Linked DNA regions of Arabidopsis thaliana. The protein of the gene in region 1 interacts with the protein of each later gene in a biochemical or structural test. Each region holds a gene or a part of one and is shown in the gene's direction. Other genes may lie near its edges. The genes, in order: nPAP and FIP1.

What was found.
Region 2: the proteins of nPAP (region 1) and FIP1 form a complex in vitro, tested with the Arabidopsis thaliana proteins (one study listed by BioGRID).

Annotation. Positions count from the first base shown.
Region 1 is NC_003075.7:15,847,341-15,856,828, forward strand, and holds nPAP (nuclear poly(a) polymerase), read left to right. Parts: upstream 1-2,431; 5' UTR 2,432-2,793; coding exon 2,794-2,928; intron 2,929-3,025; coding exon 3,026-3,103; intron 3,104-3,429; coding exon 3,430-3,537; intron 3,538-3,709; coding exon 3,710-3,772; intron 3,773-3,840; coding exon 3,841-4,002; intron 4,003-4,338; coding exon 4,339-4,452; intron 4,453-4,533; coding exon 4,534-4,596; intron 4,597-4,677; coding exon 4,678-5,007; intron 5,008-5,085; coding exon 5,086-5,250; intron 5,251-5,387; coding exon 5,388-6,221; intron 6,222-6,329; coding exon 6,330-6,413; coding exon of another isoform or gene 6,414-6,470; exon of another isoform or gene 6,471-6,551; coding exon of another isoform or gene 6,552-6,566; exon of another isoform or gene 6,567-6,824; coding exon 6,825-6,905; coding exon of another isoform or gene 6,906-6,926; exon of another isoform or gene 6,927-6,977; coding exon of another isoform or gene 6,978-7,011; exon of another isoform or gene 7,012-7,022; coding exon 7,023-7,103; 3' UTR 7,104-7,120; downstream 7,121-9,488. Other genes in the region: PFK6 (phosphofructokinase 6), read right to left, coding at 1-46, 150-189, 273-319, 861-965; AT4G32860 (Avr9/Cf-9 rapidly elicited protein), read right to left, coding at 9,370-9,488. UniProt on the Arabidopsis thaliana protein: Essential protein. Polymerase that creates the 3'-poly(A) tail of mRNA's. Also required for the endoribonucleolytic cleavage reaction at some polyadenylation sites.
Region 2 is NC_003070.9:9,847,528-9,855,252, reverse strand, and holds FIP1 (FH interacting protein 1), read left to right. Parts: upstream 1-2,803; 5' UTR 2,804-2,952; coding exon 2,953-3,178; intron 3,179-3,263; coding exon 3,264-3,365; intron 3,366-3,777; coding exon 3,778-4,049; intron 4,050-4,678; coding exon 4,679-4,858; 3' UTR 4,859-4,868; exon of another isoform or gene 4,869-5,120; 3' UTR 5,121-5,409; downstream 5,410-7,725. Other genes in the region: ATJ1 (DNAJ heat shock family protein), read right to left, coding at 1-39, 460-517, 638-655; AT1G28190 (uncharacterized protein), read left to right, coding at 7,438-7,725.

The DNA of each region.
Region 1 (9,488 bases):
CACGTCTAAAATGTGTCCCTCTAGGAGAATCCTTGTGAACAACAATCTATACATCACACGAAAGGGAAAATGAGCAATGTGCTAAACATATCACATGATCACTTACGAAGAGAACAAATGTAAGAAAGGAAAGCGTCAGTGAGTTTCACCTTTTCCTGGACTGTATCATCCTCATCAACAAAATACTGCCTGAAAATCACACAGAATATGAACCCTATTAACTAACCGTCATCTTTCAATCAATCAAGTTCATAAGTACAACATCAACTTACCTTACTACTGAATAAGCAGCATTTGATTGCAACGGGTTTGGATAAGTCTGTTAGAGAAGGTATCAGCAAAAGTGAATAAAGTATAAAATGAAACGAAGCTATAGCATGATTTGAAATATGAACCAAAAAGCTTTTTTTTTTCTCCATGGCAAGACTAATTTACAATCCAATTCTTCCATTACTCTACATGTATAAGAACCTCATTACATTAGCATCAAATTTAGAAAATAGTAAGTGATTAATAGATCTAATCAAACATTCGGTGACGAGTAAGCATATGTGCACCAATCAATTTCCACGTTGACATTGATTTAACATTTCACATTTGTATGCACTAATACGAATATAAATATTTATGTAATTCTCTCCCTGATAGAGACCAGGATCTCATCAACAGTCCGAATCAACATATAGGCTAAAAATAGGCGAAACCAATTATACAAACACAACTTTTGCATTTGCTATACACGAACCACCAAATCGGCAACAATATCAAATTCGTAAATCGTATAACCACCGATCCATGAAAATGTCGATTTCAAAGAATAATCGATGGAATCGTATAGAGATAGAGAGAGGAAGTAGTACGGGGAGATCGAGAATGTAATCGCTCAAATGAGGAACATCTTCGAGTACATAACCAGCAGGTCCTTCCACCAACTTAATCTGCTCGTCCACGCCATTAGAAGCCATCGAAGAAAACCTTATTCTTCTGAGTGTTTTTCTCTCCGGTGACGTAAAGCGACTGTGAATTTGAAGCGTATGTATGTATGTGAGTTTTAATTCTCAGAGCTCAGAGTGGTATAGAAGTAAGGAACGAGAAAGCGACGTCGTTTTGGCTCACCGTTACTTTATGATATACGGACATTACCGAAATACCAGCGTAAACGGCGGCTGGTTTTTCCTTTTGTCAATTTCCGGTTTTCAGATAATTGATTCGTGGATAAATGCAGAAGTATGGATAAAATCTCATTAATTATCTTTATTATACCTTTAAAGAAAATGACAAAAATTAAACGATAAGAATATCTTAATATTTACGAAATATATTCTTAGTAATTTCTCTATTTGGTGTCAAAAATATATAGGCAATTTTTCTATTCTTTAATTTCTTAAGATTTTTTTTTTTTAAAATCATTTTTTCTTAGTATATGGTATTGTTCATGACAAAGAGAGAAATATCATATCCTGTTGAGAAATAGCATTTATAAAAACTGATTTGTTTTGTAAAAATAATAATGTCAAGCTAATGTATAGATCGAATAGTTATTTTAGCTTAAAAATCAAATTTCTGAGAGGAGAAAATTTATCTTACAAATCTTTATAACGCTTAAGTATAAAAAAAAGATCTTAATACACAATTGTCCGAAAAAATCATTTTTAAACTATCAAATTATCGGTTTAAACTTTTTATTTGATTAACAAATCAATCTAAACTTTACAAATCTTCATGAATCAATTTAGGATTTAAATATCAAACAAGTGGATTCTAAAATAATAAAGTTTCCTCTCCAATTAGGAGTATAATGAATTACATATTTGGAAAGAAAAGATTCGAGTATTAATAAATTTTAGATGAATTTGATAAGTTTTAGACAGTTAGGAAAGTTGTTACTATTTGTTATTAAAAATATTTGCAATCTCCCTCACTAAAAAAAAATAATATTTGCAATCTCACAAAACCATGAGAATTGGGTCTTTGTAATTTTTAATCAAGGAAATCCATTATTACATCACTAATTGAAATTCATGTTTGTATATACAGCCTAAACTTTTGTATATACAGCCTAAACTTTTGTATCTTTTATTTAAAAACACTTTAATATGTTAAAATCCAATATAGTATCAAAATTATATCAAAATCTAATAAACAACACACCAGTTTTCAACTTTATCAATTAAAATTAACAGATGGTGATTTTAAATCAGTTGGTTTCCATCGACACATGATTTCTAGTTACCAATAATCCCACTAACCCCATTAAAATCTTTAAATTAAAAATCTGAACAAAATTATCTAATTTAGATTTGTTTTCAAAATGATTACAATGTTTTCTTGTTTTGAACGGAGACTTATCGGCTCCCTCCGTAAAATAATCATACACATTAATCCACTAATCAAAATTTAATTATAAAATCGAATCGCCGTGTACCTAATATCTTCCCCAACCTTTGCTCTCTCTCTCTCTCCATCTCCCTCATACCTCCTTCTTCTTCTTGATCCATCATCTCTCTCTCTTTCTCTCTTCTCTCTGTTCCTAGTCCATCGATTTAACCTCTTTCAGATTCTCCTTCTTCTTTGACTTTTTTTGACACCGTAGTCTCTTTCCCCTTCCATCGATTTAGGGTTTCCGATTTTCAAAATCTCCTTTTTATTTGTTTCCTCTCCTTGTGCAATTCCCGTCTCGAATCCATCTTGACCTGGGGGTCTGATCCGATCTCCCTCTAATCATATCGTGAAGCGAGATTATGTTTTTGTGCTGCGCTTCTGCTTTGATCGCTTAGGATTATCAATCGTGTTATGATGGTGGGTACTCAAAATTTAGGTGGTTCGTTGCCGCCGCTGAATTCTCCTAAAAGCTATGGAATTACGAAGCCGCTCTCTCTTGCTGGGCCTTCTTCGGCGGATATTAAGCGTAATGTGGAGCTGGAGAAGGTAAAGCTTTGTTTTTTTGTTTATACAAAAATTGTTCCACTGTTTAAAGGATTCGTTGATTTGGCTTATCTGATGTGTATTTTCTTATATGCTCAAGTACTTGGTTGATGAGGGACTCTACGAGAGCAAGGATGATACCATGCGGCGAGAGGAAGTTCTAGGACGCATCGATCAGGTGACTCAGCGTGTCTCGTTGATTGTTTGTTCTGTATATTTACAAGTGTTATCTTTTGATGGTTGTGCTAATTGGGTGTCTGAATCGACAAGAATAAAATTATTGTGTTTATAATGGTCTTTTAGGTTTCATTGTATTGGTTCTTACTCGTGTATGGTTGTTGATTTTGGGCTAAGCATAGATCATAGTTCAATATGAAATAGACTGGTCAGGCATATGTTCTTATGTCCATTGATTTACTTTGCTGTTTTTAAGTTTCTTCACATGCTGTTCATTGTGCTATTTGTCTGAAACTATCAATCTTATCTCCCACCTTTTTTTTTTAGATTGTAAAGCACTGGGTGAAACAGTTAACGCAGCAAAGAGGATATACTGATCAGATGGTGGAAGATGCAAATGCTGTCATTTTCACCTTTGGATCCTACCGACTTGGCGTAAGTGCTACTTGTTTACCGCTTCCTTGCTTTTATCTTGAAGCTAAAATGCGTATAATATGTTTTTTGCTATATGTTTGTGGATTACTCGAGAGATCGCTCTGTTTTTGTCTATGCAAATGCAATCTTAGTCTCTGAGGCTGAACCGACTTCAATTTTGTTCACTTTGCAGGTGCATGGTCCTGGGGCTGACATTGATACTTTGTGTGTTGGGCCATCTTATGTTAACCGGGAGGTGACTCTTGCTACCACTTATTGATGCAGAAGTTTGATTCTTTAGTTCTTAACACTTACTCTTTACAGGAGGATTTCTTCATCATCTTGCATGATATATTGGCTGAGATGGAAGAAGTGACTGAGCTCCATCCTGTTCCCGATGCCCATGTTCCGGTCATGAAATTTAAGTTTCAAGGAATACCGATTGATCTGCTCTATGCTAGCATATCACTTTTAGTTGTGCCACAGGTAATTTTCTGTGAATTTATTGTATCTTTCTTTGTTTTTGCTGAAGCTGTAGGGTCTGATAAATTTATATTAGCTTGTATATATTATGCTATATGTTGTGCTTGTTTGCATGTTGATGGAGACAGATAGTGTATTACTCATCCTCAATGGCTTATATAGTAAACAAATTTATTTTAGTAGTTTCTGGCTTGAGAGAGAGATCTGAAAAGTTTGCTGGCTATTTTGGTGCATCGGTTTTGATTTTTATATGAAAACTGAGCCCGTGAGCTGTCATGGTAGATTACAATCTCTTGCTGAATCAAATTTCTTGTTTTCATGGATTTGGTTTATCGACAGGATCTGGATATCTCCAGCTCTTCTGTGCTGTGTGAAGTTGATGAGCCAACCGTTCGAAGTCTTAATGGTTGTAGAGTTGCTGATCAGATTCTTAAACTCGTTCCAAATTTTGAGGTAAACTCACAGAATGCCAGTCATTATGTTAACATATGAATGAACTATGGTTACCTTCTCTTATCTTATGTGCAATTGTAGCACTTCCGGACAACCTTAAGATGCCTGAAGTACTGGGCTAAGAAGCGTGGGGTGTATTCAAATGTAAGATCATAGCTTTCTGAAATTCGTATTTATTGAAAACTTTCATGTCTAAGCTCTTGTCATATTTCTCATATTGGGCAGGTGACTGGATTTCTTGGCGGTGTAAACTGGGCACTTTTGGTTGCTCGTGTCTGCCAGCTTTATCCAAATGCAATTCCTAGTATGCTGGTTTCTCGTTTTTTTAGAGTATATACTCAATGGCGGTGGCCGAACCCAGTCATGCTTTGTGCAATAGAAGAGGATGAGCTTGGATTTCCTGTCTGGGACCGTCGTAAGAATCATCGCGACCGCTATCACCTTATGCCAATAATAACTCCAGCTTACCCATGCATGAATTCTAGTTACAATGTCTCTCAAAGCACTCTTCGCGTTATGACAGAGCAGTTCCAGTTTGGTAACAATATCTTGCAGGTAAGTGAGCAAAACTTTTGACTTGTTATCTCAACTATTTATTCAGGATCCTATACTTATGCATGATTTTTAATGCAGGAGATTGAATTAAATAAACAGCACTGGAGCTCTTTATTTGAACAATATATGTTTTTCGAGGCATACAAAAACTACCTTCAGGTTGATATAGTGGCAGCAGATGCAGAAGATTTATTGGCTTGGAAGGGTTGGGTGGAGTCGCGGTTCAGACAGCTGACCTTAAAGGTTGATAGCCTCCTCTTTTCATTTGATTTACAGTAATAAACCTGCTGTATATCAGTGTTTAATCATATTTGTTGTGGTAGAAAATATAAAATTATTAAATGTTTCTCGATTTTGTTTCTTTTCATTCAATAATGCAGATAGAAAGAGACACTAATGGGATGTTAATGTGCCATCCCCAACCAAATGAGTATGTAGACACGGCTAGGCAGTTTCTGCATTGTGCCTTTTTCATGGGCTTGCAGAGGGCAGAGGGAGTTGGGGGTCAAGAATGTCAACAGTTTGATATACGTGGTACTGTCGATGAGTTCAGACAAGAAGTAAACATGTATATGTTTTGGAAACCTGGGATGGATGTTTTCGTTTCTCATGTTCGTAGACGACAGCTTCCACCTTTTGTTTTCCCTAATGGATATCGAAGGCCTCGGCAGTCCAGGCACCAAAATCTACCGGGTGGAAAATCTGGTGAAGATGGCAGTGTTTCTCATTCCGGCTCTGTGGTGGAGAGGCATGCCAAGCGAAAGAACGATAGTGAAATGATGGATGTGAGGCCAGAGAAACCTGAGAAGCGTGCATCTCTTAGTCCACAGAGTCTAGATATAGTTTCTCCTGAAAATAGTGCTATCACAACTGGTTGGACTCCTCCTGTTTGCAACCTTAGAAGGCCACCAAGCGAGGAAATAGAAGCTGATAATTTGAACACTGAGTGTACTGAACTCACAGACTTAGCTCGAAATGAGTGTAACTCTGGCAGCGAGCAAGTTCTTGAAGTAGATAGTATGGCTGTAGTTCAAGAATGCTCTGATCCTGCTGAGCCTTTGGGAAAGTGTGTAACACCTGACTCTGTTGATGTGGTAGCATGTGTAAGTGGGCAGGAAGAAAACTTAGATCGTAATTTGAGGTCTGTATCCATCAGTGGTACTGACTCCCCACTTCTTCCGAGCAGATCCTGTGGGCAGAACCGTGATTATGAGGTTAGTTTTTTTTTTCTTTTTGTATATGTTTGGGGGTTCTGGTGTGTTATCAGAAATTGGCAATAATTGTTTGAACATACCGGGCATAGTAATGATGAGTTTTTACAGGGTTTCGGGTTTCCTGCTGCAAATTCAGATCCTATGGGAAAGAAAAACTTGTACTCTCAAAGCGGCATGTCGGAAGACCTTCAGGTTATTAAGCTACCTCACAGTAGTTATCATAAGATTAGTTCTGTTGAAAATATTTAATAGCTGGTTTAAAAATGAATGTCCAATGATATGCGAGCATCAATTCTCCACACTACATGGAATCTCATACTGGTTTCATAGTGTCAAGAAACATAGGATGGAGCTAAGTTTGAAATTTGATGGTTGTCCATAAACAGTACTACTTAAGAGGTCAATGTTTCTGCTGTGTTATAACTTGCCTTGTGTGATTTCTGCTGCATACCGCCTAACTAGTGCATATATATGATTGGCAGGTCCTGCACTGCAAAGCAACTCCGCTTGAAACTTATTGAATTAGACTTTTCTCTCTTTGATTAAGTTTTGTAAGGAATAAAACTAACTTATGTTGTTGCTCGTAATCTTGTCTTGTCTTAGTCAAACTCTTTGGTGAGCGGGATGGAGAAGTCGGAAGACAGAGCTAGGTCAGAATCTTTCCAGAAGTCACAGATAAGGCATGTGTGTTATGCAAAGTCATGATTTCTTTATGTTATTCTTGTTGTGTATTTGGTTTCATTGGTGCTTTTATAGCACAAGCAGGTTAAGCTTAAAGTCCACTGTGTGAACGTCCTCTAGGCTATTGACGTGAAGAAAACGGGGGATTTCAACTCAAATTGTTGCGTTGGACAGACGACAGAGTCCAGAAGCTTTTGGTAAGTGAATTTTTAATATGGAAAAAAGAAAAAAGAAAAAAAAAAGTTAAAAAATGACATTTGAAAAATTCAAAAAAAAAAAAAAGAATTAAGTTAAAAAAAAAAAGGTAACCAAAAGAGAAAAGAAGGTATAGGCAGAGAAAGCATTGGTGGTGGTATTTTGAGTGAGCTTGGATGATGACCAAAGCTCAATATGCGTCATCAGGATCATAACTTGAAGATTGAAATGATTTATATAATGTCTGGATGATGAATGCTTTTTTTTTTTTATTATTCGGCTGTTTCAGACTCTGGTCCTCTTAGGGCTTTGACTTGAATCGTTTGTGTTTTTTTAATTTTATTTTGCGGTTTATGTATATAAGATCTATGCCTCCTTGTCTCTCGTTTTTGGAGTTATGCTGTCAAAACTAAGTGAGAGTAGTTGCAATGAAAGGCTTTAAAATAAAGGTTTCTGATCTATATCAAAGTCAAAACACTGTTTCTTTTTTTCTTATGATGTAATATGATGGAAAATCTATAGAGGAATTGGAATAATTGGTGGTTGAACCGGGAAAGACAGATTCTCAAATTTAAATGTGTCGGATCTGCTAGTTCCAAATACAAGTTCAAAGCGTCACTTAAAATATAGAGGACCATGAATAAGTACAAGAGCTCTGTATTTGAAAACATGAATGGTTGGAATTCCTACCGAGACCAAACACTTTTTGTGGAGATATGTCTTGTTTGGTTGAATTATCTTTAATACAGCATGCCAAAGGTTTGAAGAGTAAGATGAAACAGTAGCCCTTTCAATGTTTTCAATATATATTGACTGAGTCGAAAATATGGGATTTTAACTTCTCGGGGCCAACAGATAAGAAATTTCTCGGTAGTGACCGATAGCACTACTAATATCTACCTTTTTAAGCATGGAAACCTTTTCAACTATCAAGAAAAAAACAACTTTAAAATTTTGATAGCCTAGTGGTTTGTATGTATGAAATAGTGATATTTGATAGCCTGATGGTTTGTATTAATATCGTCATTCTGTCACCTCCGGCGTTGAAACTAGTATAATGCATGTCCACAAAAGAAAAATAGAACTGAGCTGAGGCAAAAAAGAAAGAAAAAAAAAAATAGAATTTTAGGAAAGCGTCATTCTGAGCAAAACAACTAAATGAAAATCTAATTTTTTCGTTGGATTTTCCCAACATTTAGGACTGCAAATACTCTTTACACAGACGTAAGGTAAGTAACTAAGAAACAAAAAAAATTCTAAACTCATTCTTAAATAATCGCATTAGCGTCTCTATTTTGTTTGATCTAGATTATTTTTCTCTTTCTGTCTTCTCTTTTATATACAAGGGATACTGATAAGACAAAATCTAGACTTTTTAAGTTCCAGGCCTCTAGATTTTTAGTGGGATTTGGTGGAGAAATGCTATAATTCGTCGTATTTGCCTACAAATTTGGAGAAAGTTTTACGGAAACTTTTGACTTGTTCGACTACCAACCTATAAGTTACAATTGGTCTTAGCAGATATATAGTATTCCATCTTTTCTGTATTTTCAATGCATCGAAGTATAATTTTTATGATAAGTAGTTTTTAACGATGGGATATATGTTTCAAACATCGTTAGGTAACAACATATATAGGCTTTCACAACATTTTGTCGTTTTATGTCTATGCATAAACAGCCGGAGAATATTATACGACAAACAAATATCATAACATACATACATATTTACATATATATATATATATAATGCATATGGATATTTTCCCCAATCTCACCAATTAAGAAAAAAAATAACTAATTATTTATAGATGCATAATAATATATGAATACAACAAACGTACGTATCATACGTTAATAGATTACCAATAGAGGGTCAGGTCAATCAATTAGATCCATGTGTTTCGAGCCTGTAATTCCAACGTTAATATGATCATTAGATGGTAATATTTTATTTTTTTTGGCATACCTTTTTACAGTTTTTATGATTAACATAGAAATATAAAAGTTTATATACGCCCTCATATACACACAAAAAAAAACTATTTCGAAGATCGAATTTCCTACAATTTCATCCAAGCAGATCCCAAACACGATCATGGATTGCACAAAAAAAAAAAAAAAAAAAAAAAGAGAAAAGGGAAACAGAAAACTAAGGAGATATATACTACTACAAAGGAGAAATTAGAAAGTCAAAACAAGACTACCAAAGTTACCTAGAATACTTAATATTTTATTTTTCGATAAGATTTTTCGTAAAGTAAGTTACTGTTTTAAACCTCCTGAGCCATCATCCACTTCTGCAACCTCAGCTGTCTATAGAAACTCTGTATAAACTCCTCCGCAGCTCTGTCCACGTGGCAGCTTTCCATCGTACCGGTGCTGCTAGCTA
Region 2 (7,725 bases), on another chromosome or scaffold:
TAGCGTGAATGTATCGCTCGAACAACGGCTTCTGAGACCCTGCAAAGAGTCAAAACTTCCAAGTAATGAATGCATATTTCCTATAGTCTGTAGATAAACACAAACATCAACTGGAAATTCCCTCATGCCCCTAATGTTAGCTACCACGGAGACCTCGAGATTACATTTCGATTCTTTAAAATCAACTCTTGAGTTACCTTTAATAGTGCCCAATACTTTGATACCCCTTCCTGATAAACCCTAAAACCCCATTTCAGCTAAAATTATCACTACATTAGAAATTCTAATAAACCCCAAAAAACTTGACATTGTCGTTGGTCTGTTGCATATACACCTAAATCAGCTCAGAGAAGGCGATAAACCTCGAAGAGCATATGAATGTCAGTTTTTGATTCCTTTTTGAAACAAGCAAAAATTGACGAAATCAATAACCCTAGTTTAACAACTTTTATACATTACCTTGACGCAATCCGATCGCGGAATCAAAAGTTCTTCGAGCTTGTACATGCCGCAGAACCTACGATATAAACATAAATTACAAAATGATTTCAGCTCTCTCGAGGACTCAATTTCAAAATTGAAAGGAAGAAGAAGAAAACGATGAAGCTAAATCTAGAGAGGGATGAAGAAAACAAACCCAGTTGAATCTTCGCATGACTCTTGTGAATTCAAAGCTAAACAGAGAGGAAAAAACGGAGAGGTTTTTGATTTTGAGAGTTAAACCCTTAGACCATTTCCATGATAAATTCCAAACAAACATAAATCAAAAATATTAAAATAATAATTTTTTAATCAGTTTTTTTTAGAATATTTTCTGAAATGAGAAACTTGGAGAAATTTTATCTCTCTTCCAAATGTCATCTTGTCATTAATTTCTTTTCTTTGTTATAAATAAAATCATTTATATTTTATAACATCAATTAAATACTTTATATGTTTATTTTTTTTTTTTTTTTTACTTTTAAAATTCATAAAATTAAATTATCTATATAACAAGCTCTATTATATATATGTTTAAATTATATACGAATATTATTTAATTGGTGTTAGTTAAGCATTAAACATAATAATAACTTATAAATACAATAGTTTTTTTTTAATTAGAAAACAAACATTTAAAATTTTCTATTTTTATTTTACAACATTTTTGGCAATCGAATTCGACTTCGTGATAGAGATATGCACCAACAACTAAAAGATGACCTAGTTGAGCATATATGACAAAAGTTTGGTGCATTATCAAATGAAGAGTAAAACCATAATAGATAATATAGTTAGTTTTGATTTATGTTATCATGGTTTTATATGTAATTTCTGTGTAATTTATATATTTTTTCTATTTAATTTATGTTATCATGGTTTTATATGGAATTTTATGTTTAATTGATATATTTTTTATTATGATTTTATATGTAAAGTAATGTTTAATTATGTTTAATTATGTTTAATTATGGTTTTAAAAATAATAAAACTATTTAATAATATAATTGTAAAAATAATAATTGATATGTTTGAAAATATTGTAGAGATTTTAAATTTAATATAAAAAACATATAATAATATGTTAATGTTAATGAGATACTCATAAGAGTATTTCACCAATGGAAGCACAATTTTAGTATAAGTTTCTCTACTTAAATTAAAATATTAATAATATATTATGAGGTACTCATGGAGTATCTCACCAATGGAGATGCTCTTACGCATATGCTGACGAGAGACGAGAGAAGAGACGTTCGCTAAATCTTTTGCTTTCTCGCCACTACGTCCAGAGTCTCTCTCTGGTTCAGAAGACTCGAAATGGGTTAAACACGTATTCTCTCATTCTCCGTAGTTAATTAATTTAGTGAAACGGTAAAAACAAAATGGTAAAAAATTGGCGGTCGTTATTTTGTAGCGGTAAAGAAAATAGTGAGTTAGACTATTTACAAGTTAACTGTTTGAATTAAAAGTTGAAAGTGATTTGGAAAAAGATGTTGTAGAATTTCTTCAACACCGTTAATTTTGTGAATAAAATCCTTGTACACATATAGTCTTAGAAAATTTGGAAAAAGGTTTGATAAATGTAACTTAGATGCTGCTTGGATTATAAAAAGTAAGCTTTATGGATACGGACTTGAGTTCCCAAGATCATTTAGGTTCAATCTGATTTTGAGGTTTATATAAGAAGCTTCATTTAAACCGTTGAGTGTTTGAGCTATATGAAACTTCAAAAAAATGTCATTCGTTTAAATACCATCAAGAAGAATGTGAATCAACTTTTCTTTTTGGATGAAAACTAGTTTTTTGATATGGTAACTATGTTTTCAACACAACAAAATTTTATCGTCGAATGTCCGAAATGATAAAGACACTCTTAACCTTCATCGGAAAAAATAGCAATTTTTTGTGGTATATCAATAGCGGTTACAATCTAACTTGTTTTGTTGTTGTTATTATGATTAGAACTGTCAATTGGGTGGACCGCATGTGGGTTTTTACAGTCCAAATACACACGGACGGATTATGGTCTGGACTCCAAACTAAAAAACATAAACCAAGCAATCAAAAAGTTAGAATAAGATATTTTTTAGTTAAAACAAAAATCGTAAGTGAAGAAGGTCTGAATTTCTTGAGGAAGATAAACGGGCACAAAACCGGTGTACATACATGGATTATGGATATGTTCTAGAGGAAAGGTATAATTGAATACTAGTATCCGTTACAGAAACTAATTGCATTAAGTTTCGTCTACTGTTTAAGACCGCACGAGATATATATGTTAGACCGACTTTGGGAAAGAGGCTACTTAAATTATTTACGATTAATAATGCCAACGTAACGCGGACAGACATTTTAATTCAATTATTATTTGTTGCCTGCGAGATTCGAACCATCTCTTATTTCATTACTTAACCCAAACCAAAAAAATAAAAAGTTCATTTCGAAAGAAGAAGAAGAAAACATCAAATCATGAGTGGGCAAGAGAATCATGATCATGGCCGGATCTCTTCTACGCCCGCCGCCGCGTCGGAGCCTTCCAAGGCTGCTGCTCACTCCTCTGACTACGCTCCTTACCCTAAGCTCGATCCTACCGACGTCACTCCTCCTCCTCCTCAGCCTATTCCCACCGGTGCCGCCGCAACCACCATGCCAGCGGAATCCAATCCTTACGTTTCTCCTTCCCCTGCCCCAAGGAGTGAGTTCTTCTTCTCTCTATCCGATTTCGCATCCTAATCCAATTTCTGCCTTTGATTGATTGATTGATCTTGGTTTGGGGACAGATACGATGGATTCGGTGAAGGATACGTTAGGGAAATGGGGGAAAATGGCTGCCGACGCCACCAAGAAGGCGGAGGATCTCGCCGGAAATTTTTGGCAGCACTGTAAGCGCTTCTTCTTCTTCTTCTTCTTCCCCCTCGATTAGATGAATTACCAATTAATCTGATTACCGTCTCTTGGAGAATACGATGGTATTGGTTATGCCCCTTCTGGTTAAGTTAGTGTTCATCAATTGGCGCTTCTTCGGAATTTTACTTCGCGTTCAACCACCGACACTAAATCTAGCCAACAATTTTGATATTCATGCTCTTCCGTTTGAGTTTAAGCCAATTAGTTCTTTGTATCTGGTTATTGCCTTTGACTCTTGAAGCTTCTCTAGTATAGGTTGTTTTGGCTTTATTTCTCCGCTTGTGTGATGAATTAGTATTATATACATATGGTTGGAGGGAGGGATGATATTTTATATGAATTGAGACTTGAGAGTATACGTTTTGATATCTATCCTTTCTTTTTCAGTGAAAACAGGCCCAAGTGTAGCAGATGCTGCTGTTTCACGAATTGCTCAGGGGACAAAAATACTTGCAGAGGGTGGATACGAGAAGGTCTTCAAGCAAACATTTGATTGCCTTCCTGATGAAAAACTTCTCAAGACCTATGCTTGCTACTTGTCTACATCTGCTGGTCCTGTCCTGGGAGTTATGTATCTTTCGACTCACAAGCTTGCGTTCTCTAGTGACAATCCTCTCTCTTACAAAGAGGGTGAGCAGACCCTGTGGAGCTATTACAAGGTATACTCGCTCTCTATCCTATGGTTACTTTTTCTTTCTAACTCTTTTATTTTATATCTATTTACATCTAAGAAAACTATTTGAGAACAAAGATTCAGCGAATGTAATATTTGATGGTGACATGATAAAGCGTTAAGTGAGTTAAGTCATTTTCAATGCATCTATTTACATAGATTCATAGACTATAACAAATTTTCTTGTCATTTCTAGTTATTGACGTATAGAACGTAGTGTGTGTACGCTTATAGTAAATGGAAACTACATAATCATTCTAACGATATTGTTGAGTAGTTGCATGTTAGTTCCTATGTAGACAATTAGGACTTTAGTGGTTTGCCTAAGAGAGTAAGCTAAATCTTGTAGCATTCTTGATAAAACTAGGGGAGCCATTGAATAATTGTTAGTTTGAGAGTTTGGACTGGTTCTAATGTAAACATCTAACATGAGCTGAAATCCTATTAAACCAAGCAGAAAGCTTCTTGACAACATGATCTTTGGAAAACTGATTTTAAGATTTGGGTGGTTCTTGAGAACCTTTTTTCGTTCCTTGAGAACCTTGCACTTGCAGTCTATTTTCTGTCATTCTTCCTTGTAAAGTCTGTGGCTGATGATTTTGATGTGATGATCAGGTGGTACTTCCGGCGAATCAGCTGAAGGCAGTGAACCCATCAACAAGTAGAGTGAACACATCTGATAAATACATACAAGTGATTTCCATCGACAACCACGAGTTCTGGTTTATGGGGTTTGTGACTTATGAAAGCGCTGTGAAGAGCCTTCAAGAAGCGGTGCAGTCACATGGTCCGTGAAGGTCCACTGGTATAAATGGCAGCTCTTAGTGATATTGTGCATTAATATATGGAACAGTGTGTTTTAGTATTTGATACCATTTCAATGTGTTCTACATTTTGTCCTCTTGGCGTTTACTCATAAACATTGCTTTTGTTCATTTCCTTTTGTATAAAATTATTTCTTATTTTTTTTGAGGGAACCTTGTCCTTTAGATCTAACATTCATGATTTGTATTCGTGTTCTAAGTTGGATTCGGTCTTTGGTTTTTGATGAGTTTAGGATTTTAAAGGTGATCAAGTTGGGCGCTATAGACAAAACCAGCATTTAGAAAGCCCAATATATCACCGATGGGCCTTTGAAAAGAGCCCAAATCGATAATAAGCATGCATGGGAGAATTGGTGACACGGGCTCATTACAACACTTTCATCATAGAAGATCCTATGTTTAATGTGTTTAAAACAAATCTGGTATGAGTTTTGGAAGATAGTAACATTGAGTATATATGTGGAAACAAATCTAAATGGTGGGGTTTGTGCAATCGCCTAAATTGTTTTTTACTTGCATTCGTTATATGCAAATATCTAAATGATTAAAACCAAAACCAAAAATATCTAATATGATATATTAAAATATTAAGCTTCATTGTATCATTCTTACGAAGTGACCAACTTTAGAAGTTAGCGAATTGTCTGTCATTAAGCCTATTGCTCCTTGTCGTCTTATTCTTTGCTCACCAACGAGCTACGTCCTTTGAATTTCTTATTAAAGTTGTTAGCATATAAACTATGACTAGTGCCCATCAAATTTGAAGATTTAGCATTTGGACTCTTCTTGTGTTAACTGAACATGGTCAGTCTTACAATATCTATATATTCAATGGTTATCGAGTGATTGTGTCATGAAATGTTAATATAGTTGGATCTTTTAAAAAAAAATGTAAATATAGTTGAACCATATACATCCGTTGAAAACAACAACAGCAAAAACTGATAGCTCTGAACCATCTTTGTAAGAGTGTGTTTGCGACTACGGGAGTCTTGATATCAAACCGAAACCACCCTATATATGAAAAAGCTTCATAAAACCGATTTCTCGATTACTTTAATAAGATGGCATATCGGGTGTTAAATGTGTTTGTGCTACACAAAACAAAGATAATGCGAAGTTTCACACACAAAACCAAAGCCGTAAACGCACAGAAGAAGCTACTTCTCGTGAGCATGAGTTCTCTTCAGACGTTTTACCTCCCCACAATCCATAAGCTACATAAAACCGATCTCCGGTTTCCAGATTAATTTACCATTAGTATTTTACAAAAGTTTGTAAGTAAAAGAAAAATAAGGCAATCATGCAAAATCGAAAAAAAAAAAAGATGGCGAAAAGGAAAAGAAAGTAAGGCGGGAGTGGCAATTCAAAACCAAAATAAAGTAATGAAGAAGCGAGTCAAAGTAAGGCAACATAATTACGTACACTATTTGATGAGTCAAACCTACATCTTTCTATGACCAAATTTGAGAGGTGGCTACTTCTCTTAGGCTTTGCAACTTGAAAAATATGTTCCGCATCTAATCTAATAATAGGATGTTGTCATGTTCATATGTTTCGTTGAAAAATATTAATTCTAATTAAAACTCGTGTTAACATCAGGATTGGATTTTTATGTTCATAGTGATAATTAAATATCTCCAAGATTAGTGTAACAACAACAAAAAAAAGAATAATACTTATATCATAATCTCAGGATGATCATGATTGCTCAACTAAGTAGGGATTGGGTCAATCACTGGTTAAAAGAGAAGAAAAAGGTGAAATGATTATTCTAGAGTTTTCATTAAAGTTGAAATACCTTAAAACCAAGATTGAAATGTCTAAAAAGAACACTCGATACTTCCTTTTAATTCCACCGGTCTAAGTCTTCTTTCATTTTATATATTTGTATAACCTAATGCCGTCACGCACGTTAAACATAGTCAAATTCTTTATTCATATATTATTATTTTAATCGCTTCTTAATCACAGTTAACATACTTGGACCAAACCTAGTCCATATATCCAACTTTTAAAGCATGGATGTCCGATAACATAGTTGAAACATATACATATAAGGTGTGCATAAAAATATAAATAATATGTATGCATGAAAAAAAAGAAAAATACAAAACATTACTAAACGAATGGAATAAAAAAAATCTGTATATTAATAGATGAGTATACTTATTAGTAAAAATTTATTTTAAAGTAAATTGAAATTAGCCAAAAAGATAAAGTGAAAAAGATGTAAAAAATTGAATTTTTCTTGAAAGCCAAAAATTATTTGTTTGGGCCCCTATTTGTTTACCAAATAAAATGAAATGAAGGAGAACTCATATATTTGAATATGAAAATTGAAAACAAACACATTTTTAAAGGGAGATAAATTCTTTTGTATGTAAAATACTCTCAGTGTATATATATACAAACCAAAACTTCATTTCATTTGTTCACACTGAAACTCCAAAACTCTATCTCTCTCTCTCCTCCACACACCAATTTCTTCATGACCTTCTTCTTCTAGCAGAGAAGATTAAAGAAACCCCCAAATCCAGCTTATACTAAATGGGTCATGATAACATCACAAAGCTCGGGAGTCTACTCGTAAAGCTACACAAAGGTCCTTCAAGTTGGCTTTGTCTTCATCCTCGACCAGACCGAACCAGCAACGGCGGACGAATCAAGCTCGTCAGATCCGACGGTTCTTTACAAGTCTACGATCGTCCCGTAGTAGTCTCAGAGCTAACAAAAGACTTCCCAAAACACAAAATCTGTAGATCAGACTTACTCTACATCGGACAGAAAACCCCTGTTCTGTCTGAAACCGAAACACTTAAGCTAGGTCTCAACTAC